3 linked regions of the Anolis sagrei genome follow. The protein of the gene in region 3 purifies or fractionates together with the protein of the main gene of each other region. This does not show direct contact. Links are inferred from orthologs where the notes say so. Each region holds a gene or a part of one and is shown on either strand. Other genes may lie near its edges.

Region 1 (7,614 bases), about 120 kb from region 3:
ACTAGAAGTTTCTAAAATTGCTCTTACGTTTTGAGTTGGGGTGCTACAGAGACTCCATGGAGAACTCGCCCAGTTATACAAAACTTGATGCTGATTCTTATAGATATGGCAACATTAGCATGCTTCGGATAGAGAGGGGGGGGTGATCCTGTGGCTCTCCAGATGTTGCTGAACTGCAACTCCCAGCATTCCTCACCTGTTGCTGCTGTAAGCTGTACTAAAATCATATCTGAAGGTCCAGCTTTGTCAAACCTTAAATCAAAGGTGGCATCTACCCTGTTGAAAACATGCAGTTTGATTCAATTGCTATGGCTGAAGACTATGGATTAGTTTTCCCATCAGTGTGGAAATAATACACTGGACTGTGGGAAGTCCTGACCATAAACCTCATCAGGCTGAAAGCCAAAAGTAAGTTCACAACAACTTTTGTTATAGAATTTCACTATGCTGACAATAATGTAGGCTGTGCTCATTCAGAGGAAGACCTACAAACCACCTTAAACATACTTGCAGAAGCATATGAAATTTTGGTCTATCACTGAACATTGAGAAAACCAAAGTGCTCTCTTTGCAGGCACCAACCAATCCTTCTGCAATGCCAGCAATAAAGATTAATGGTGTAAAGCTTTAAAAAATGACAATTTCGGCTTCCATTTGCAGCCACCTCTCCACAAAAGCAGTCATTGATGCCGAAATACAACACCGTCTGAGCTCTGTGAGTGCAGCATTTTATTCAAATTAAGCAGATAATGTTTAAAGATCAGGGCATTAGTAGGGATACCAAGATGCATGTTTATAAAGCTATTGTCCTTCCAACTCTATTGTGTGTCTGCGAGACATGGAGTGACAAATGTCACTCGACTTCTAGAAAGATTCCATCAGTGTTGCCTTCGAAAAATCCTGCAAATCTCTGAAAATTGGGAAGCCCTGACCCTTAAGCACTGTAAGAGGAGGTCAGCTGTTACCAACAGTGCTGTGGATTTTGAAGAGGCACAAATAGAGGGAGAAAGGGAGAAGCCTGCTGAAAGACAGATACATCAAACAAGCCCTTGTTGGGACTTTTCTTCCATCTAGAAATCGATGTTCTCATTGGAAAAGACCATGTAGATTCAGGATAGGTCTCCACAGTCACTTACAGACCCACAGCCAAGACTCTACCTTTAGAAGACAATCATACTTGGCCTTGAGTGACTTTTACAAGGTCTTTAGCCTTCCCTGTCAAAGACTGATACAACTCCTACAATCCCATAGCATCGAGCCATGGTAGTTAAACTGGTGGCAAAGTGCATGAATTCTACTGTAGATACACACTATAGGCAGATAAACAGTGTGGGAGGCAGGTGGATCTTTCACACTATTTCAAGCCACAATCTTTCGTCAGCATTTGCATTCGTGGCTATGAAGCCACTATTCTGGATCAACCTGCAGTGCCAGTTCCTGTGTGAACCTACTCCATGAATCCATCATTAACTTCCAGCAAACTGGTCTGTTGGGGAAAAAATCAGATCAGAATGAATTTAGGCACCTTCTACACAGCCATTATCAAAGCAGATAATCCACATTATCTGTTTTGGATTATCTGCGTCTACACTGCCATATAATCCAGTGCAAAGCAGATTTTATATGGCAGTGTAGAAGGGACCATAGTCTCAATGCTGCATCCACACTGTAGAATTAATAGTTTGACAAGTCTTTAACTGCAATGGCTTGATTATATGGAATCATGGGAGTTATAGTTTCACAAGCTCTTCAGCCTTCTCTGGTGCATTATCAAACAACAACATCTATGGTTAGCACTGACTCATAGCAGTTCATGTTGGGTCACAGTGCCTTACTTTTACAGTGTAGATGTATTAAAAGAGATGGAATTGTGGGAGTTGTAGTTTTACAGGAACTTTAATAATCTCTGCCCCAGAGTGCTGGTCCCTCACCAAATTACAACTCCCAGGAATCCACTGCATTGAGCCACAAGTCGCTTCTGACATGATTAAAAAAAGTGAATTGAGCCACGGCCATGGAAGTGGTATCAAACTGCATTAATTCAACAATATAGATGCACTCTCTCTTGCCGACACACACAAAGGCTCTGTAAAAGGACAACTCCCAGGATTCCACAGCATTGAGCCTGACAGTCAAACTCCATGAACTCTACAGCGCAAGGTGTACTCAAAAGAGAAGAGCCTTAAAGGCACAGCTTAATAATAATTATTATTATTATGCTGCGTCTTTGAGGTTCTGCTCTTTTGAGTATACCTTGCACTGTACAGTTTATTATTATTTGATTCAATTCCATCATTGGTTGAGTTCAGAATGCTCTTTGATTGTAGGTGAACTATAAATCCCAGCAACTACAACTCCCAAATGACAAAATCAATTTTTTTGAGTGAAGGACATAGATTGGGTTGTTAGGTGTCTTGGGTCCAAATTTGGTGTCAATTCATCCAGTGGTTTTTGAGTTCTGTTAACCCTACAAACCAACATTACATTTTTATTTATATAGACGACATTTATATGCCACCCTTCTCACCCCGAAGGGCGTTACAGTTCTGACTGTTGCTACGTGGTCCTTATACAGATTCCTCAGGAGAGAGGCAAGGGGATTTGGTATGCCCATACCACCACCACCACGGGGAATAACATTGCTTTAACTATGAGTTGAGTCCCACAACCTATGCAGTATGGAAGTTGTTGTTGTTCATTCGTTCAGTCGTTTCCGACTCTTCGTGACCTCATGGACCAGTCCACGCCAGAGCTCCCTATCAGCCGTCACCACCCCCAGCTCCTTCAAGGTCAATCCAGTCACTTAAAGGATACCATCCATCCATCTTGCTCTTGTTTGGCCCCTCTTCCTTTTTCCTTCCATTTTCCTCAGCATAATTGTCTTCTCTAAGCTTTGCTGTCTCCTCATGATGTGGCCAAAGTACGTCATCTTGGCCTCTACTATCCTTCCCTCCAATGAGCAGTCAGGCTTTATTTCCTGAAGTATGGACTGGTTGGATCTTCTCGCAGTCCAAGGCACTCTCAGCACTTTCCTCCAACACTACAGTTCAAAAGCATCTATCTTCCTTTGCTCAGCCTTCCCCAAGGGTTTTATTGGTTTTAACGGGTATAGATGTAATGTATTGTTGTCGATTGTTAAATTGTGTTATTTGTTTTATTGCTGTGGTATGTTACGGGCATCGAATTGTGCCTTGGATGTGTAAGCCGCCCTGAGTCCCCTTCGGGGTGAGAAGGGCAGGGTAAAAGTAAACCAAATAAAGAAAGAAAGAAGTAAGGTCCAGCTCTCACATCCGTGAAAGAAGAAAGCGCAAAAGCCGGGTTGCAGCTAAACATCAAAAAAACCAAGATTATGGCAGCAAGAATGATTGACAACTGGAAAATAGAGGGAGAAACCGTGGAGGCCGTGACAGACTTTGTATTTCTAGGTGCAAAGATTACTGCAGATGCAGACTGTGGCCAGGAAATCAGAAGACGCTTACTTCTTGGGAGGAGAGCAATGTCCAATCTCGATAAAATAGTGAAGAGTAGAGACATCAGACTGGCAACAAAGATCCGCCTAGTCAAAGCCATGGTATTCCCTGTAGTCACCTATGGATGTGAGAGCTGGACCTTAGGGAAGCCTGAGCGAAGGAAGATCGATGCTTTTGAGCTGTGGTGTTGGAGGAAAGTGCTGAGAGTGCCTTGGACTGCGAGAAGATCCAACCAGTCCATCCTCCAGGAAATAAAGCCTGACTGCTCACTGGAGGGAAAGATACTAGAGACAAAGTTGAAGTACTTTGGCCACATCATGAGGAGACAGGAAAGCCTAGAGAAGACAATTATGCTGGGGAAAGTGGAAGGCAAAAGGAAGAGGGGCCGACCAAGGGCAAGATGGATGGATGGCATCCTTGAAGTGACTGGACTGACCTTGAGGGAGCTGGGGGTGGTAACGGCCGACAGGGAGCTCTGGCGTGGGCTGGTCCATGAGGTCACGAAGAGTCGGAAACGACTGAACGAATGAACAACAACTCACATCCGTAGGTTACTATGGGGAACACCGCTGCTTTGACTATGTGGATCTTCATTGCCAGTGTGATGTCTCTACTCTTCACTATTTAAACAAGATTGGACATTGCTCTCCTCCCAAGAAGCGTCTCCTGATTTCCTGGCTGCAGTCTGCGTTGGCTGTAATCTTTGCACCTAGAAATACAAAGTCCGCCACGGCCTCCATGTTTTCTCCCTCTATTTCCCAGTTGTCAATCATTCTTGTTGCCACAATCTTGGTTTTTTGATGTTTAACTGCAAGCCAGCTTTTTCGCTTTCTTCTTTCACCTTGATTAGTATGGATTAGTATTGAGTATGGAAGAAGGGCCCTCAAAGCCAAGTAACTCTGCCTGCAGTTCCACCAGAAGCCTTTAGGTGGCAGGCACGGGGCTTGACAGGAGGCGCTTCCCTTTCGTGGCATTGTAAGGGTTGTGGGTTCTTTTTCTCTTCCCGGCACCCTTTGCGCTGCCGCGGCCCCTGACGGGACCTGTAGTCCCTTGTGAGCTGAAGGCGGCGGGCTGGCTTCCCAGCGTGCCGCGCGCAAAGCCCGCGCGCTGGCTGGCCGCCTGTCTGGTTGTCGCGCGCGCCGTGAGGAGGAGACGAAACAGAGGCAGAGGCGGCGGCGGCGGTGAGGTGGACTCCCTCCGAGCAGGCAGGCAGAGGAGGGAGAGAGAGAGGCGGCTGAGGGTCCGACCATGTCGGGCGAGGAGGAGACGTCCGAGCTGACGATCGCGGAAGACGTGGTGGTGAACAAGTACAAGATGGGGGGAGAGATCGCCAACCGTGAGTGCCTGCCTGCCGGTGGGGGGCGCGGCCTGGGCCCGAGGCTCTGGGATCCTGGGAGTTTGGCCGAGGAGGGGGAGGGGGAGGAGGGCGAAGGGAATGGCGGCAAGGCGGGGAAACAGTCTCTCTCTCCCTCCCTCCAAGAGGAACCCGAGGCGGCCCACGACCCGCCAAGTTGGGCTCCTTTCAACTCCAGGAAGAATGAGATACAGATACACTGTCTGCGTGTGTTTTAAGCCCCCTCACACCATAATCCTCGATGGGTCCTTCCTCGAAAGCCCAGTTGTCCTTGGAGAAGAGAGAAAGAAGGAAGGAAGGAGGAAGGGTTGGACGACTCGGCCGCACATGGCGCGCTCTTCACGTGTTCAACCCTCTCCTTGCTACACTGAAGAAGAAGCCCACTTTGACTCCTGTGGAATCCTGGGAGTTGTAGTTCCACAAGGTCTTTGTGTGTATGTGTAGAGGGGGCGCCTCCAGACTGTCGAATAACTTCAGTTGGCCTCACTTTTTACCTGCCACGGAATCCTGGGAGTTGTAGTTTTGATAAGGCCTTTGTGTCCTAAACCAGTGGTTCTCAACCTATGGGTCTTCAAGTGTTTTAGCTTACAACTCCCAGAAATCCCAGCCAGTTTACCAGATGTTTGCTGAGAGTTGAAGGCCAAAACATCTGGGGACCCACAGGTTGAGAACCTCTGGTGTATGGGGAGTGTGTCCCCACGTGGGCGAAATAATACAGTTTGACCCTCCCTGGCTGAACTCTATGGAATCCTGAGAGTTGTAGTTTTCATAAGAGCTCTGTGTGTGGAAGAGAGAGAGAGCATGCCTCCATACTGTAGAAGTATTGCCCTTTGACCGCCCCACTTTTAACTGCCATGGCTCCTTATTATGGGGTGGCGGGAGTTGTAGTTTTGTTGAGGCACCAGCAGTTTTTGGAAAAGAAAGCTTCAAAACCTTGTAAAACTACAACTCCCGTGATTCCATAGTAGGGAGAGTCCTGTCGAATTGCCTTAGTTCTACAGTGTGTAGAATAGATTCACTCTGTCTTTCCAGAAAGGCATGCTAGTACTCTTGACTTTATTAGCAGTATATTACCAGCCATTTGGGTGTGCTGGGGGTGGATTCCCAGGCCCCTTCCACACAGCTGAATAAAATCCCACCTTATCTGCTTTAAACTTGAATATATGGCAGTGTGGATTCAGATAACCCAGTTCAAAGCAGATATTGTGGGATTTTCTGCCTTCATATTCTGGGTTGTGTGGAAGGGGGCCCCAGTCTCCTCTTCCGCTTCCCTTTCTTTAAAGGAGAGAAGGGGGGTTGCTTTTGGGGAGAAGCTAGTTGAGTGAGCTCCCTCCAGGCGCACATGGTCTGGCCCTTGCCATGTGGAGCTGGCTGGTGCTCTCTCCTTTCACTAGGAGTCCTGGCTCCCTCCCAGGTGGCTCCTTTTGTTGAAAGAAGAACTTCTGCTTGGGATCAGATCACCTCCTTTTTTAAAAAAAAATCCCTATTGTAATCTAGGAAGTTGATGATCAGGCATACAGGGAGCTAGAGCAAGGGAATCCCTCTCTTGTAGCTCATCCAGGACTTTGCTCACTCACTATGTGATAAATATAGAGAGAGCGTTTGCTTGCAGTTCACTTGTAGGCCAAAGCACTCTCAATGGGTGGTAAACACGTGCGCCCGGATTGGGTGATTGCATACCTTCCCCTGCTGGGCTTAGTTTTAAAATGGTGATTTATACTTTTGCTCTCTTCTCTCCCACCACCCACTTAATTTTGTTCTATCAAGGATTATGACTAGTAGCTCTCCTTTAAGAATACTGTTTAAAAATAGGCTAACCCCATGGAGTCCTGCTGATAGATTGAGTGGGGGCGAGAGGTGCTTTGAGTTCTGTCTAAAAGCAGAAAGCAGGATATCAATTAAATAAATAAATAAATATATATATTACACGGTGCTGCCTTGTGTAGCTTCATAAATGAGAGAGCTCAATGCTCTCAACCTTATGCTTAGAATTTAGTTTGAGTAACTTAAACCTCTACATTCACATTTTTTTCTGGTTGAGTTTTAAAACTTTAAGAGAAAATTCTCAAGCTTGGTGAAGTTTCAGAGAGGATATGTTTGTATGATGAAGGAAACATCTCAATTAGATGAATCAGAATTGTCAGGCAGTATTTCATTTTCCTTATACTTCACAGAAACTAAACAGTAGGAGAAGAAGGATGTTTTTATTCTCAGAAGAAGCACCATGTGTGTGTGCATGGGCCTTCATGTTGTCTGTTGATTTCTGGCAACCTCATGAATTTCATAAGGTTTTAAGCAAAACCAATTCAGAGATTGTTTTTTCCCCCAGTTCTTTAATCTGAAATATAGTCTACAGCGCCTGTTAATTCCTTGGTGATCTCCCATCCAAGTACCACATAGGGCTGACCCTGCTTAACTTCCAAGATCAGACATGTTCTGGTGTCTTTAGAGTATTTAGTCTTTGTTTTAGCTTTGTTGTAGGAATAATTAAAAACCTAATAATGGGGTTACAACTAGAGCAGACTCTGAAGTAAGGAATAGAGGTTACTAGCCTGCAAAATAAAAAGATCTTGCTGGGTGAGGAGAGACCAAGGTCTGAATTTCTATGATGGGTTTCTTCCTAGAGTCCTTTTGTTGCTTGCTTATATGAAATTCTAGACACACGAGTGTGCCCTTCTTGATATCTTATGGCTACCAGGCCAGTGCTCTCATTCAAGGCTGAGTTAAAGAGATCTATGTCAGTTGTCAAGGGACTCAGTGTGCCTATCAAATTGATCACTGTATGCACAC
Region 2 (8,049 bases), about 29 Mb from region 3:
AAACTAAAGAGCACTGACCATTGTGTTTTAAAAATTATATGTAGTCCTTTGTAACAATGGGTTATCGATCTACGGAGTAATCGGCCCTTTGAAGGCAACCACAGGGCTGAAATGGCCCCTAATGAACATCAGTTTGACACTCCTGATTTATGACAAGTCACACTCTCTCAGGTTCAGATGAATACAAAGACAACCCCACTCTAAACAAACCTTTCCAAGGAAACCCTGCAATAGGTTCACTACAAGACTTGAAGGCTTATCAGAAAAGCATTATTATAATGTGGAGTAGGAGCTCTAGAGAAGAGTAGGAGCTCCTTCCTTAGAAACTAGACACATCCCTTTCCCAAATAAAATAAAAAACTGAAATGAGTTAAACTAAAGTATACATGAGTTAAACTACTATTGTAAAACATTACACTAAATGACCCACTGCAGAGTTATCAAAATATATGCAGGGGTTGCCAATGGTCAAATTACATACATAAACTTATTTTGAGGAGGCCTTATTATCTTGCAGGAACTAAGCATTGGGGATTTGCATTACATTGTAGGGATAACATTACATAGCCGACTTGCTATGTTTGCCAGAAAAAGTATCTACCAGTTTATCACAAGAAATTAGCCTGAAGCAAAAACAAAACAAAAAACCAAAACAAACAAACAAACAAAACTAAACAAAAAAAACAGAACATCTTGAGGAGGTAGAGGTTTCTTAACTAAGGATACATTTCTTTTCAGTGATATCTCATGGAAGTCATAGCCCAGGGGTAAGAATAAATTAATTTGGGTGTCCTGTAGTATGTTTTTAGGGTATAAAGCCTTGGGGTTTTTCCCCAAATGGGAAACATTTCTTCTATATTTTGAATTGACACCAGGCATCTTTTAACAGCACACAATTTTAAGAAGCAATGGGTGCAGCTAAACTATAGAATGAATGCAGGTTGACATCACTAGGCTCAGCAGGACTCAATATTGGGAAATCATGAGAGTTACAGTTTCGACTTATCTGTCAAAGCGTGCTAGTGCCTCAACTACAAATCATAGCACAGACCCAGGGAACTGCATTGATTCTACAGTATAGATGTACTCAATGTCATTTTAATATGCACAATTAAAGCAAAACTTGGAACCATTACTTTGGCCTACAACTCCTGGAAACTCTTAGCCACAGGCTAAGTTGGCTAGAGGGCTCTGGCAGTTTTATGTCTTTTCTTGGATCATTTTTAAGATATTGGAAGCAAATTGGGATTGTATAAAACTTTTGGTAAGTTTCAGGCATTCACAGAAAAAGATTCTCTAAATATCCCCCTTCAATGCAACAGCTATTTTTACCTTTGCTCTGAAACCATTCTGTGAATCCTAGGAGATTCCTGCATTCCCAAAGTTTTGATACAAACACATTACTGAAGTCTCTATTTTCTGAGGAGGTACAGATTCTGTCTGATCTTGAAAGCTAATCTGGGTCAGCTCTAGTTAATACTCAAGTGGCAAACTGACAGGGACCACCAGATGCAGTATGCTATATTTCAAAGGAAGGAACTGCCAAAACTCCTTCCCAGTCTTTTTTGCCAAGGCGACATCTATGAAGAGACACACAAGCCTACTCCCACCACCCGAATAGGTGAATGTGAATGACAATTCAAAATGTTGCTTCTAATTTTTGCCTTCCTCATACATGTCCCACCACTTTTTACAGAAAACTGCTGACCGCAACTTCTGCTTTAACACTAAGCATGTGTTATAAGAGAATTTCATTTCAGTATCATAATGCAACATGGAAACTATGAGATCAGAACAACCACCCTAAAGGTTCTGTTCTTAACTGCCGCCAAATTGACTTTGACTTAGAGGTTTGTCATTTATGGTCCCTTCCACAAAGCTTAATAAAATCCCACATTACCTGCTTTGAATTGGGATATTTGGCAATGTGGACTCAGATAACCCAGTTCAAAGCAGATATTGTGGGATTTTCTGCCTTGGCATTCTGGATTATATGGCTGTGTGGAAAGGTTCTTAGAGGTTTGTCACTTATGGGATGCCCTGTGTCACTCTTTCAGCAAGAACAGTGCTAAGGTTTTGCAGACCCTGGATAGCCATGGCTTCCTTGGCTGGATCTTGACTGAAGAATTAATGCACCTTGATAACACTTTAACTGTCATGGTTCAATTCTATGGAATCCTGGGATTTGTAGTTTGGCAAATCACCAGCACTCTTTGGCAGAGAAGGCTAAAGGCCTTGCATGTGCCTTTATGTGCACCACTCCGAGTCCCCTTCAGGGTTGAGAAGGGCTGGATATAAATATGGTAAATAATAAATTGTAAAATGACAACTCCCAGGATTCCTTGGCATTGAGCCACAGCTGTTAAAGTGCTATCAAGCTGTATTAACTTTACAGCTGAGTTGGAGTCCAAAATATCTGGAGGGCCGAAGTTTGCCCATGTCCGGTGTAAACTCATATAATGCAGTTTGGAACTGCATGATATAGTAGTGTACATTGAGCCTAAGTTAATAATTACTAGGCCAACTCTGGAAAGATTCTCCGCCACTCAAGGCATTTATCTCGCAGTGTCCATTTCTCAAGGAGCAGCAGAGTCATTCGCACGACGAGGAGATCAGAGAGCGCGAGCACCACCCGACTCCCCTCGATTTCCCGCGCCGCGCGCGCTCACACACTGAAAGGCAGCTGAGGCGAGCGCGCGCGCATAGGCGAACCCCAGCCTCCTTCCCGTTCCCTTCCTTCCCCTCCCCCGACAACCGCTCTGCGCGTCCGCCGCCAAGGGAAAAGCCCCCAGGGCGGACCCCCGGCCGAGGCCAAGCACCCCTTACCGTAAGTCAGCTGGGGTTCCGCTCCAAGCGGCCCCCTCCGCCCGTCCCTCTCTCCTTCCTTCCTCCCTTCCTTCCTTTCCTCTCCGCGGCCCCGCCTCAGCGGCTTCTTCGCCCTCAGCAGGGGAGCGCCGCAGAACAACTTCCGCCACCGTACTCTCGCGAGGCCACCATGGGGTGCGAGGAGAAGGGCGGGGGAAAAAAGGATGCTGAAGAGCGCATGCGCACTCTAAGGGCTGTCACCAGAGGGGGTGGGTGGATTTGAAGTCTGTGGTGGCAGCAGGCGCATGTGCAAGAAGATAAACTCCTGAAAAGTCTTTCTGGATCCATTTAAAGAAAAATGCCATAAACTATATTCCCTCCAATATATTTCTCAGGAAATAAAACCCGACTGCTCATTGGAGGGAAGGATATTAGAGGCAAAGATGAAGTACCTTGGCCACATAATGAGAAGAAAGGAAAGCTTAGAGAAGACAATGATGCTGGGGGAAATGGAAGGAAAAAGGAAGAGGGGCCGACCAAGGGCAAGATGGATGGATGGTGTCCTTGCAGTGACTGGATTGACTCTGAAGGAGCTGGGGTGGCCACGGCCAACAGGGAGCTCTGGCATGGGCTGGTCCATGAGGTCAAGAAGAGTAGGAAGTGACTGAACAAATAAACAACAAAAACATTCTCACTACCTCAGAGGATGCTTGCCAAAGTGTAGGCGAATCGTCAGGAGAGAATGCCTCTAGACCATGGCAATACAGCCTGAAAAAACCTACAACAATTCCAGCCATGAAAGCCTTCGACAATACAACAACAACATTTTTCTCATCATTGGCGAATAGGACCTTCTGGCTTAGTAACATCTGGGTGTAGTGACGATGGCAGGAGTTATTCATGGTTGTGGCATCTACAGTGTAGGATGAATGCAGTTTGACATCACTTTGGCCACTTTTTGGCGCAATGCTATGAAATCACAGGAGGTGTCATTTTGCAAGGTCTAAATAGTGCTAATGCCTCGCCAAATATAACTGACATTATTCCACAGTATTCCCCTTCTGAAGCCTAACCTTGCCAAGACACAAGTGTGTGCTTGCCATCAATATAATTGTGAAGCCAACAGGAAACTGAAGGTTACCTGGGAAGGCCAAGAACTGTGTGAAAGGGCCCTCAGACTTAACGCTAACCTTTAGGAAACACTGTGTGAACACCAAGCACAAAGTAGCTGCACACAATGACATCCTGCGGAAACTTGCTAATAGTGCATCAGGTGCAGAGCCAAAATTAATAAGAACCTGGCCTTGTCTTACTCAACAGCTGAGTATGCCTGCTCCATCAGGCATAAATCTGTTTAATTCTGTTTTATTGTTCACATATTTGTGAATTTTAAATTATGTGGTCATGCTTTTAATTGTAAGCTGCTTTGAGTCTCCTTCAGGAGAGATAAAGCAGGGTATAATTAACCTAAACAACAACAATCTGAGATAAATCTACCCCATGAAGGGAAATTCAGTCTTGGAAGAGTTATCTTGGGGAAAAGGTGTCTCCACTGAAGATTTATCACCAAACCTTGCTTCCATAACAAGCTAATTTTTTCAAAATCCAATTATCACTGAGACAGAAAGTGAGGTCAAATCCTCTGAAGAGGGGTACAGTCCATAAAACAAACATCATAGGAGTGTTAGTCCTTCCCTGTGCTATCCAAAGCTAATATATATTTGGCTGGAGTTACACTTTTAAAATGTACCTGTTTCTACTTACATACAAATTCAATTTAAGGACAATCAGAAGAACCTGTCTTATTTGTAACTTGAAGACTGTGTAATAAAATTTCATTATTTTAAAAACATTTTTGAATGACAAAACTAAAGAAAAAGGGGCAACATAAAACTAGCAAGATATTTAATTCTGTTGTCATCTACAAAAGTTCACATTCAATCAAATTATATTTTAAAAAATCACCAAAAAATCCACAATGTTTTAAGTAAGTTTACAAATTTGTTTTGTTGGGCCGCATTCATAGTCCTCTTGAGTTGCATTGGCCCACAGGTCGCAGGTTGGACATGCCTGCTCTGTAACATGAACAGTCTTCAATAGCCCTGTTTCAATCATGTTCTTGTCTATTACACTGGGCCAAAACGTCCAGTTTTAAAAGCTGAACCAAATAACTTCTGCTCTTCTTTATGTGTCAATACATCAGTGGAAATGCCTTGTAATAGAAGTCAAAGGCGTGATAAAATTGCAATCAATAAGGTGCCTTTATTATAGAATAAAGAACACATTGGAACTCCCTTCCAAATAAACATAGCGAGGATTAAAGTGGAAGACTATTTAAAACTGGTAAGCATGTCAACAATGCCTGGCAACTCTTACTCATAACACTTAGTCATGAGTAATTATATTCCTTTCCATAAGATTATTTAGCAGTCATGGAAACACAAAGGTTGGCAGCAAGGGTTTAATTTCCCTTAAACATCAGGAAGAACTTCTTCACAGTCAGTGCTGCTCAACAGCATATTCCACTATTGAGCAGCACTATGCTGCTGCCTCGGAGCATGCTGGAGTCCCCCCTCTGGCAGTTTTTAAGCAGAGGCTGGATGGCCATCTGTTGGGGGCGCTTTCAAATCTGTGTTCCTGCATGGCAGAAGGGGGTTGGGCTGAATGGATTTTATATGGCAACGTAGAAGGGGCCTAGGTATCACAACTCATCCACTTCTTCAGCAGGTAAAAATCCAGAGGGGTTTGTGTAAAAAGATTGGTTTGTGTAACCTTTTCTTGGCAAAAGGGGTTTTATCTTTGACTTTCTCTGAGGCTGCGAGAATGTGACTCACCCAAGGCCACCCAGTATGTTTCCATAGTTGAGTGGGGATTCAAACCTATGTCTTCAGAGTCATAATCAACTGATCAAGCCGCTACACAACATAGTATTGGGGAACAGAAATGGTCATGTACAATATTTGGTTGATTTTTTCACCTATGTGAAGTTGGGCTTTAAACTGTGCTGGTTGACTGTACTGCAGGGGTTCAGTTGCAGAAAAAGAATGGTTATAAATTGGAGCTGGTAGTTCAGCTATATGATATTCCACAACAGTGAAGAAGTTAAAAGGAAAAGAGAAATATATAGTCCCAGCAGTCCCGGTGGAAAGAAAGAGCCAGGGGTGTTTTGTTAATTAATGAAATGTTTGATTATATATATCTTTATAAATTAGTGCTTCTTAGTCCATATCTTTCTGCTCCGTTCTTGACAAAGCATTAAAAAATCCAAGTGAGTGTGAGTCTACGTCTCATATATGAATTGGTTACAGCTTTTTAAGGGCCAAGGAATAGCTTTAATGTATTACAGATTTTTCAATTCATATTAATGCTAGGCTGCATTCCTGCCTGTCCAGTTCATGTTATTTATTTCACAATCAATACAATTATCAGCCAATTTCAGGGGAGGGAAAACTATAGGCAAAATAAAATAATTTGTAAAAAGTGTATAATGTTTAGATGTTGAGAAGTTTGGAAATCCAGAAATCTAAAATCCACATTAACTACCAAAACCAGAATATTAGAGTTGTGGCTTTCTTTCTTTCTTTCCTTCCTTTAAATTCCAATCAGCATAACTATTGTTGCCGGAGATAAGAGAAGATGAGAGGTACTGTTCAACTATTTATAGAGAGACGCAAGTTGACGACACTTGTACTATTAACTGAAAGTGCTGTGAGTGCACAAAAGGTAGGGACAGAAAATTCACATGGCTCAGCTATAAGTCTCTCTTTTAAGTTAAAGTGCAAAATCAGAGCTTAGAAGTAATAGGTTGTTGTAATTACCTTTTTGGCTAACAAGCTATAACAATGTTGCACTTCCAAAGCAATACAATCGGTAGGAAATTACTTTAATTTATTGGTGCAGTCCATATATTTTGTCATTATTTCATTAATTCAAAGAGTTTTTTAAAACAAGTAAAAAAAAAGCTATTGGAAAGTAACATACATATTGGAATTAATAACTGGATTACATTTTCAAAACTGAAAGTGAGCTAGTGTGAACTACCTTTCTGGAGACCAAGGTTTGAATACCCCCTGGGCTATGGAAATCCACTGGGTTACATTGGGCAAGTCACTTTCTCTGTTTTCAGAGGAAGGTAAAGGCAAACCCCTTGTGAACAAATAATGCCAAGAAACCCACATGAGAGGGTCTCCTTGTCTAAGGTCATTCAGTGAGCTTCCATGGCCAAATAGGAACTTGAACCCTGGTCTCCATATATGTAACACAACCAATACTTTCAATATAACTATACCAGGGAGGGGCCTTTAAAATTCTCAGCCAGAAAGGTCCTGGGTCTCACTACACTACAAAACCCAACATTCCGCAAGAGGATTTAAAGTGGGATGCACACTCTATTTCCACCCTTTAAAGGATAGTGTGGCAAGAGAAGTTAAGACTGACCTTAATTGTTAAGACTGGGGGCAGTCTGTCTGGGAGAACCCTCTGTATTTATCTCCCATCAACCATGAAGTAGACACCAAATGTTTATGGGAATCAGACCTGTTTAATGATGCGGTCATGATTCCACCGCATGCTGAAAATCGGGCAAGGCAAAAGAAGGCAAAATAGCAACTTAAAATATTTTGCATGTAACAGGACATCTACCCATGCTCGTTGCATTTCTAAATGGTGTTTCACAAACATTACCCATAGCAAAGGTAAATTTTAATGCGATTGTACTTAGTATTTTACAGTCAGATAATAAAGCAGAAGTTTTTTCTCCTAGATTGCATTTAGCATGCAGAAATACATATACACAGGATGAGTAGAGCCCAAAACTTATTATAGTGTCATCTGCTACAGAAAATTGTTCCAAAATCTCTGATTTTGCACTTCGTGATTCATATTTTTCTTAATGCAAACTTATACTTCATTCAAGCTTTTGTACAATACTGGTCTGTTGCTTTTCATGGCCACTGCCTCGTTCATCAGCTTGCATCTGGGGAGTCTGTATTTTAATTGCATTGTTGTACTGGGGAATTTTCCATCATTTAACTTGTACATCATTTCACCTTAGACACATTTATGTCTTTCTAATTACAAAGCAAGCTATCCTGTCTAGGGTTCAAGTGTTAACTTGTCAGAGCCTGTATAGGTGTTAGAAATGAAAGATTTAGTAGAAAGAACAACCATTCAAAATTGCTGAAGGACAGAGCATAATAAATGCTTAAAGATTCATACTGGGATACTGAAGCAATAAGCAAAGGC
Region 3 (7,735 bases):
TGAACCAGATTATCTGAGTCTACACTGCCATATAATCCAGTTCAAAGCAGATAATCTGGATTTTATATGTCAGTGTAGAAGGGGCCCAAGGACCCTTCCACACAGCTGTGGAAAATCCAATTTGTTCTGGAATATATGGAAGTGTGGACTCGGGGCCCTACCATACAGCCATGTAACCCAGAATATCAAGGCAGGAAATCCCACAATATCTGAGTGTAGACTCAGGGCCCTTCCACGCAGCCCTAAAACCCAGAATATAACAGCAGAAAACCCCACATTATCTGAGTGTAGACTCAAATAACTCAGTTCAAAACAGATATTGTGGGATTTTCTGCCCTGATATCCTTTGGCACCAAAACATAGGGCTGTGTGGAAGGGCCCTGAGTCCACATTGCCACAAATCCCAGTACAAAGCAGATAATGTGGGGTTTTATTCAGCTGTGTGAAAGGGGCCTCAGATAACCCAGTTCAAAGCAGGTATTGTGGGATTTTCTGCCTTGATATCCTGGGATAGAGTGCTGCATGGAAGGGCCCTGAGTCTACATTGCCATAAATCCCAGTACAAAGCAGATAAGGTGGGGTTTTATTCAGCTGTGTGGAAGGGCTTCAGATAACCCAGTTCAAAGCAGATGGCTGTGTGGAAGGGCCCTGAGGATCCTTCCACATAGTCCTATAGCCCTGAACATCAAGGCAGAAAATCCCGCAATATCTACTTTGAACTGGTCATCTGAGGCCCCTTCCACACAGCTGAATAAAATCCCACATTTTCTGCTTTGAACTGGAATATATGGCAGTGTGGACTCAGACAACTCAGTTCAAGGCAGATATTGTGCTATTTTTTGCCTTGATATCCTGGGATATAGGGCTGTGTGGAAGGGCCCTGAGTCCACACTCAGATAATGTGGGATGTTCTGCCTTGACATTCTGGGTTGCATGACTGTGAGGAAGGGCCCTGAGTGCCTGGTTGGGAAGAGACCCCGGGGATTCTGGGCTTTGTCTTTTCAAGGGACAGAGCAGCAAGTCCCAACAGATGCGCCTCCCGGGTCAGGGGTGGGATGGAGGGGTTCCAGCCTTGGCCCTCCTCTATCACAGCCTCAACAGGTGCCCTTTGAGAACTGAACCAAAAGCCTTCCGAAAGACAGGCAGGCAGGCAGGCAGGCAGACTCCACAGGCAGGCAGACTCCACCCGCAGGCAGAGAGCTGCAAAGCTGGCGGAACAAGATCTCATGGATTCCTAAAAGTTTGCCTTGGAAGTTTCTGCTGCGGGTTTTGGGGGGGGGGGGGGTGCGAGAAAACATGCTCGCAGTCACACATGCCACGCCTTCTAATTTATTTATTTCCAGTATTTCTATCCCATTCCTTCTCAACCCCCAAAGGGGAACTCGGGACAGCTTACATTTGGCAGCAATTTGATACCACTACATATAGCACAGCAATATAATCACAATTCAAACAATAAGTAAAACATTCATTAAAACAGCATAAAAAAGTATGAACAGCCATAACATAATTCCAGCCAATTCCATATCCAAAGTGCCATGACTTCAATTTCTTCCTAAATGACAGGAGGGATGGAGCTGATCTTACCTCAGTGGGAAGCAAGTTACACAGGCAGGGGGCCACAGTGAGAAGGCCCTGTCCCTCATCCTCGCCAGACATATTTGTGATGCTGGCAGGAGCGAGAGCAGGGCCTTCCTGGATGATCTTACCTCAGTGGGAAGCGAGTTCTATGGGCAGGGGGCCACAGCCAAGAAGGCCCTGTCTCTCGTCCCTGCCAGACATATTTGTGACGATGGCAGGAACGAGAGCAGGAGCCCCCGGGATGATCTTACCTCAGTGGGAAGCGAGTTCCACAGGCGGGGGGCCACAGCCAAGAAGGCCCTGTCTCTCGTCCCTGCCAGACATATTTGTGACGATGGCAGGAATGAGAGCAGGAGCCCCCGGGATGATTTTACCTCAGTGGGAAGCAAGTTCCACAGGCGGGGGGCCACAGCCGAGAAGGCCCTGTCTCTCGTCCCCGCCTGACGTATTTGCGACACTGGTGGGAGCGAGAGCAGGGCCTCTCCGGATGATCTTAAATTGCGAGGCAGGACGTAGAGGGAGATGTGTTCAGACAAGTAAGCTGGGTCAAGTAGGTCAAAACCAGCAGAGGATGCTTGCCATAGATGCAGGCGAAACGTCAGGAGAGAATGCCTCTAGAACATGGCCATATAGCCCGAAAAAAACCTACAACAACCCAGTGATTCCGGCCATGAAAGCCTTCGACAATACTTTGAATTGAGCTGGGAAGTGGACCGCCAGCCAGTGGAGCTGACACAACAAGGGGGTGGTCTGCTCCCTTCTAACCCTCGGAGGGCATCTGCCCCAATGCTGAATGAACGCACTTAAGGCTCCAATTAAACTCCCCTTAGTGTTAATTCGACCATACAGATGGACAATCGAGTCCAAAGCCGTCACGTTTGAGCGAAACCTAGGATCAACCGAAAGTAGAGAGAGAGATAGACACAGAGAGAGACTCAAACACCTGGTCTCGGATTTCCAGGAAGAGCAAGACCAAAACCAAAACCAGTCCTGCCCTGATCAACGCGCCCGCGGTGAAAATAGATCTTAAATGAACATCCATACACTTGTTGTTGTTGTTGTTGTGTGGTCTTACCTGCTTGAGAGGCGGCGGGCAGCAGGAACCCCGCGAGAGAAAGCAGCCCCAGGAGGAGACCTGGCCCCGGGAGGCTCTGCCTCATGGCTGAACGGGGATTGGGACTCTTTCAGGTGCTGCCTCCGCTTTCCTTCCGCATAGGCGGCTCTTTCCTCCTCTTTCGGGATGAACAAGAGTCCGGAGCCACTTGATCCCCGAGGAAAAGGTCTCAGTCGGCCATCGCCGCCTCCTCCTCCCTCTCTTCTTCTTCTGTTTCTTTTTCTTTGGGGCCGGATCTCTTTCTGGCCCCCAGATCCCGCTCAGCGCACAGACTTTGATCCGCTCCCCTTTACGCACCACAACTCACTAATTGCACACACTTCATTCAAGGGGAAGCCGAGCTCGCGCCTCATTGGCTGGGACTGCGCCGCGCTCTGACCAATCAGAGGGAAGCCAGAGGGAGCTCCAGAATCCAGGAATGGAAAGAGAGTGTGTGTCATAGAAAAAACCTACAACAATCCAGTGTCATAGAATCTATCTATCTATCATCTATCTGTCTGTCTGTCTGTCTGTCTGTCTGTCTGTCTGTCTGTCTGTCTGTCTGTCTGTCTATCTATCTATCTATCTATCTATCTATCTACCTACCTACCTATCTAAAATGTAATGTTCGTTTGTGGGATTAACATAACTCAAAAACCACTGGACGAATTGCCGCCAAATTTGGACACAAGACACCTACTAACCCAAATAGTGACCATCACTCAAAATAATTGATTTTGTCATTAAGGAGTTGTAGTTGCTGGGATTTATAGTTCACCTACAATCAGAGCATTCTGAACTCCACCAATGATGAAACTGAACCAAACTTGGCACACAGAACTCCCACGACCAACAGAAAAAATTGGGAGGGTTTGGTGGGCACTGACTTTGAGTTTGGGAGTTGTAGTTCACCTACATCCAGAGAGCACTCTGGACTCAAACAATGCTGGATCTGGACCAAACTTGACATGAACATTCCATATGCCCAAATGTGAACACTGGTGGAGTTTGGAGGAAATAGACCTTGACATTTGGGAGTTGTAGTTACTGGGATTTATAGTTCACCTACAATCAAATAACATTCTGACTCCCACCAACGACAGAATTGGGCCAAACCTCCTACACAGAACCCCCATGATCAACAGAAAATACTTAAGGCCATCCAGTCCCTTCACCAAGGCAAGAAAACGTAATGAAATCCCTCCTGAGAAAGAGCCATCCAGCCATAGATATAGATAGATATATATGATTCACACACACATATAGTCTCGTAGATTTGAAAGGGACCCCTAAAGAAGGACAATGATATGTTGCATTTTCTAGAGGAGGCAAACCAGGCCATCTCCACATCAACACTGACAAAGAAACAGCAAGAAATAAAGAAATACTGTCTACCCACAAGCACAAAAATATTACAAGTATTTCTCTTTACTTTTCCAGATCACCAGACTGGGCCACAGCAATGTGTGGCAGGAGACTGCTAGTCATAGAATATCAGAGTTGGAAGAGACCTCGTGGGCCATCCAGTCCAACCCCATTGTATCACAAAATCACAAGTCGAAGCGTCTAGGGCTGTGTGATGTATTTTCAAAGATGTGTGCAGATCCAAGTAAGGTAGCCTTTTGCAGTTGACAAATCGTGATTTTGTCGATGATGATGATGACGACGACGACGATGATGATGATGATGATGATGATTATTATTATTATTATTATTATTATGCTTTTATTGTGTGTTTCTGCATGGCACCCGGTTGGACTGGATGGCCCCTGTGATCTTTTGCATTATTATTATTATTATTATTATTATTATTATTTGTATCTTGCTGTTCTTCCAGGACTTAAACTCAGAATAGCTCTCAGCCTTAGAAACTACACAGTTTGAAAACCTACAAAATACAAATATTAAAATAGAATTAAATATTGTAATTATTAAAACAATAAACCTGTTAAAATGATTCCAGAGGTTGTGAGGTCTGTTGAAAACTAGAGAAGTGGGGTTTAGTTTCCAATCACACCTCTGAGGATGCCTGCCATAGATGTGAGAGAAACATCAGGAGAGAGTGCTTCTGGAACATGGCCATACAGCCCAGAAAACTCACAGCAACCCAGTGATTCCGGCCATGAAAGCCTTCCAACAAACCATTATGACACAAATGTTTATATATAAAATAATCTACCCAACAATCTGACCTTCTGGCCACTTTATGGGTTTCCCTAAAACGCTGTTATGATGACAGCCTGAATTTTGGCATTTACCATTATACTGGCATGAAAACAGCAGGAGTCTGTCAACACCTCAAACTACATTTAGAGCAGATGAGGCTAAACTACACTTCCCAGGACTCTATCACTCTTAGTTTAAAAACAAGAGAAGACTCTCGTACCTTTAATGATTGTACAGATGAGCGAATTTCATGCAGAGGCAACATCTGTTGAAACTCCCTCCATCTCCATTTCTAAGCTGAAGAGCCGGCCTTGTCCGTAGACACCTCCAAGGTCATGTGGCCAGCACATTTACATGTTTTCAAACTGCTAGGTTGACAGGAGCTGGGGCTTACAGTGGGAGTTCACATCGCTCCCTGGATTCAAACCTGCAACCTTTTGATCAGCAAGTTCAGCAGCTCAGCAGCTTAAACCACTGTGCCACCGGGGGCTCCAACCATAGTCTGTGAGTATATACCAGAGTAGGCAAGGAAGCAGGAGGATAACAATCAAGGCTGAACCATGAAGTGTGAACCACAAAGCCACAACTATTTGGGGGAAAGGAAGTTCTCTACGCTTCATTGAGGTTAATGTGGAGAGTTTGGACATTTGTTAGCAGTGCTTGATTTTTTTTTCAAAGGGTGAATGATGTCTGTATCGGAGCAGAAAGATGTCTAACTTCTCTGTTGCTCTCAAGCTGAAACTCAATACATATTTATTTAGAAGCAAGTCCCACTATGTTCACTTGAGTAGACATGGATAGGATTCCACTGGCTAAAGCCTAAAAGAGCTTCTTGCCACAGCTGTTCGTACCAAAGTGCAGAACATGTTTTGAAAATTAAACAGAGCTATGTTTCTAATTGTTTGCATCAAACTGAAATATGTGAAAGCAGTGCACCAGCAACAGGGATACAGTTAACGTTAATTTACAAGTAAATTACGAATGCAGAGCAATAAGAAACATTCATGAATTATTTCCTAACCCTAACACTACTGAAATGTTTGTTTTCCTACAACTCCTCAAAGGGAAATAAATTGTAGTACATAAGCAGAGGGGAAACTGAATGCTGTCCAAGGCAATGGAATACTTCAACACTTTATTTATATTCTTCTTTATGTCTTCGGAGGGACTCAGAGCAGACTACTGTATACACATATAAGGCAAACATTCAATGCCTTTTACCCAGTGAACAACAACGACATACAATACACAGACACAGGTAAAAGTTTTTCCTTTTCATTTCCAGCGTCTGGAAGCGATGCTCAACTCCAACCATGGGGAGGTGCTCTTGTTCCATTTTTCCATGCCAAGGAGCCTGTTGTCCGTAGACATCTCTAATTGTGTTTTGCCGGCGCCCTTTTACCTTCCCACATGCTTTTGAACTGTTAGGTTGGCAGAAGCTAGGGCTGACAGCAGGAGCTCACCCCGACTTGCGGCTTCAAACTGCCAACTCTCCAGTCAGCAGATTTCTTGCAGCTAGCTGTTTAACCCGCTGCGCTACTGTGGCCCCATAGTATTAGCTGAGTACTATGGGTGCATCTATACTGTAGAATAATTCAACTGTACATCACTTTAGTTCAATGCTATGGAATCTTGGGATTTGTAGCTTGATGAGTATCAAGTGTCCTGAAATGTGTTCAGTCCCAGAATTTTGGAGTCACTAAAGCAGGCATGGGCAAACTTGGGCCGTCCAGGTGTTTTGGACTTCAACTCCTACAATTCCTAACAGCCGGTAGGGAGTTGAAGTCCAAAACACCTGGACGGCCCAAGTTCGCCCATGCCTGCCCTAAGACCTTTATTCTCTTTTAAAAACAACCTTCAAGTTGAGACCCATTCCTCATTGTGGCCACCTTGAAGTCCTGCCTAGGCACTGATCCGGAGATCAAAAACTCAACCCACTGTTGTCCACCCTGTTTCTTAAAACCTTGCTGCGTTTTAACCCCTGCTTTCTCTCCACTCCACCCAGAGAGTGAGTCACACACAGGAAACGGGTGACACAAAAGAGGAAAAGGTTACCTTGACCTAATTAGGACCTTGGGCTCTCCTTCAGCCCAGAATTCAGTCTAAACAAGCCTCACAGAAGATGCCAGGCAGGCAAGGAAGGTGTCAGTGGCCCTCCAGATGCTATTAAGATGCAACGCCTATCATCCACCACCATCTGCGATGCTGATCTGGTCCAACATCCAAAGGGCCACAAATTGCCACTGGTTTAAGAGGCATCATTATTTTATAAGACATTTAAGTGTTCACGTTTTTTGAATAGTCTTGTACTCATAAGCTTTGGGGTTCCTCCCTTTTGCTTCGCCCAGTCTTTCCCAAATAGTTTCCAGTCTATTTTCCTGTTCTACCTTCTTGTAATTCTTCCTTCCCAACTACCTTATGTTTTTGTTCTAATATAGTACACAGAGCTAGGACACAAGGAAACATTCTCTCCCTGTTAAAATATTATAATAACCACCCTTGCCAATTGGAATGTAGCTCCTTAGGATGGGATTGGGAATGAGACAGGAAAGGCACCTGTGGCCACCCTCTGGCGCCCCCCTGTGGTTATAAACTGGAATTACCATCCTAAAGTCAACATCCTAAAAATAGTCAAAATTACTGCAACATACTGGCAACAAAGATCCGCATAGTCAAAGCCATGGTATTCCCTGTAGTAACCTACGGATGTGAGAACTGGACCTTAGAGAAGGCTGAGCAAAGGAATATAGATGCTTTTGAGGAAAGTTCTGAGAGTGCCTTGGACTGCGAGAAGATCCAACCAGTCCATACTTCAGAAAATAAAGCCCGGCTGCTCATTGGAGGGAAGGATACTAGAGACAAAGTTGAAGTACTTTGGCCACAGCATGAGGAGAC

The links.
Region 1: the proteins of ERBB3 (region 3) and PA2G4 purify together in Homo sapiens (affinity purification with western blotting; 4 studies listed by BioGRID and IntAct, with this or other methods). This does not show direct contact. The link is inferred for Anolis sagrei from reciprocal best matches to the Homo sapiens genes ERBB3 and PA2G4.
Region 2: the proteins of ERBB3 (region 3) and GRB2 purify together in Homo sapiens (affinity purification with mass spectrometry; 3 studies listed by BioGRID and IntAct, with this or other methods). This does not show direct contact. The link is inferred for Anolis sagrei from reciprocal best matches to the Homo sapiens genes ERBB3 and GRB2.

What each region holds. Positions count from the first base shown.
Region 1 is NC_090022.1:146,811,992-146,819,605, forward strand, and holds the start of PA2G4 (proliferation-associated protein 2G4), read left to right. Parts: upstream 1-4,518; 5' UTR 4,519-4,718; coding exon 4,719-4,806; intron 4,807-7,614. UniProt on the Homo sapiens protein: May play a role in a ERBB3-regulated signal transduction pathway. Seems be involved in growth regulation. Acts a corepressor of the androgen receptor (AR) and is regulated by the ERBB3 ligand neuregulin-1/heregulin (HRG).
Region 2 is NC_090022.1:117,442,571-117,450,619, forward strand, and holds the start of GRB2 (growth factor receptor-bound protein 2), read right to left. Parts: upstream 3,028-8,049; 5' UTR 2,827-3,027; intron 1-2,826. UniProt on the Homo sapiens protein: Non-enzymatic adapter protein that plays a pivotal role in precisely regulated signaling cascades from cell surface receptors to cellular responses, including signaling transduction and gene expression.
Region 3 is NC_090022.1:146,696,614-146,704,348, reverse strand, and holds the start of ERBB3 (receptor tyrosine-protein kinase erbB-3), read right to left. Parts: upstream 3,006-7,735; 5' UTR 2,742-3,005; coding exon 2,657-2,741; intron 1-2,656. UniProt on the Homo sapiens protein: Tyrosine-protein kinase that plays an essential role as cell surface receptor for neuregulins.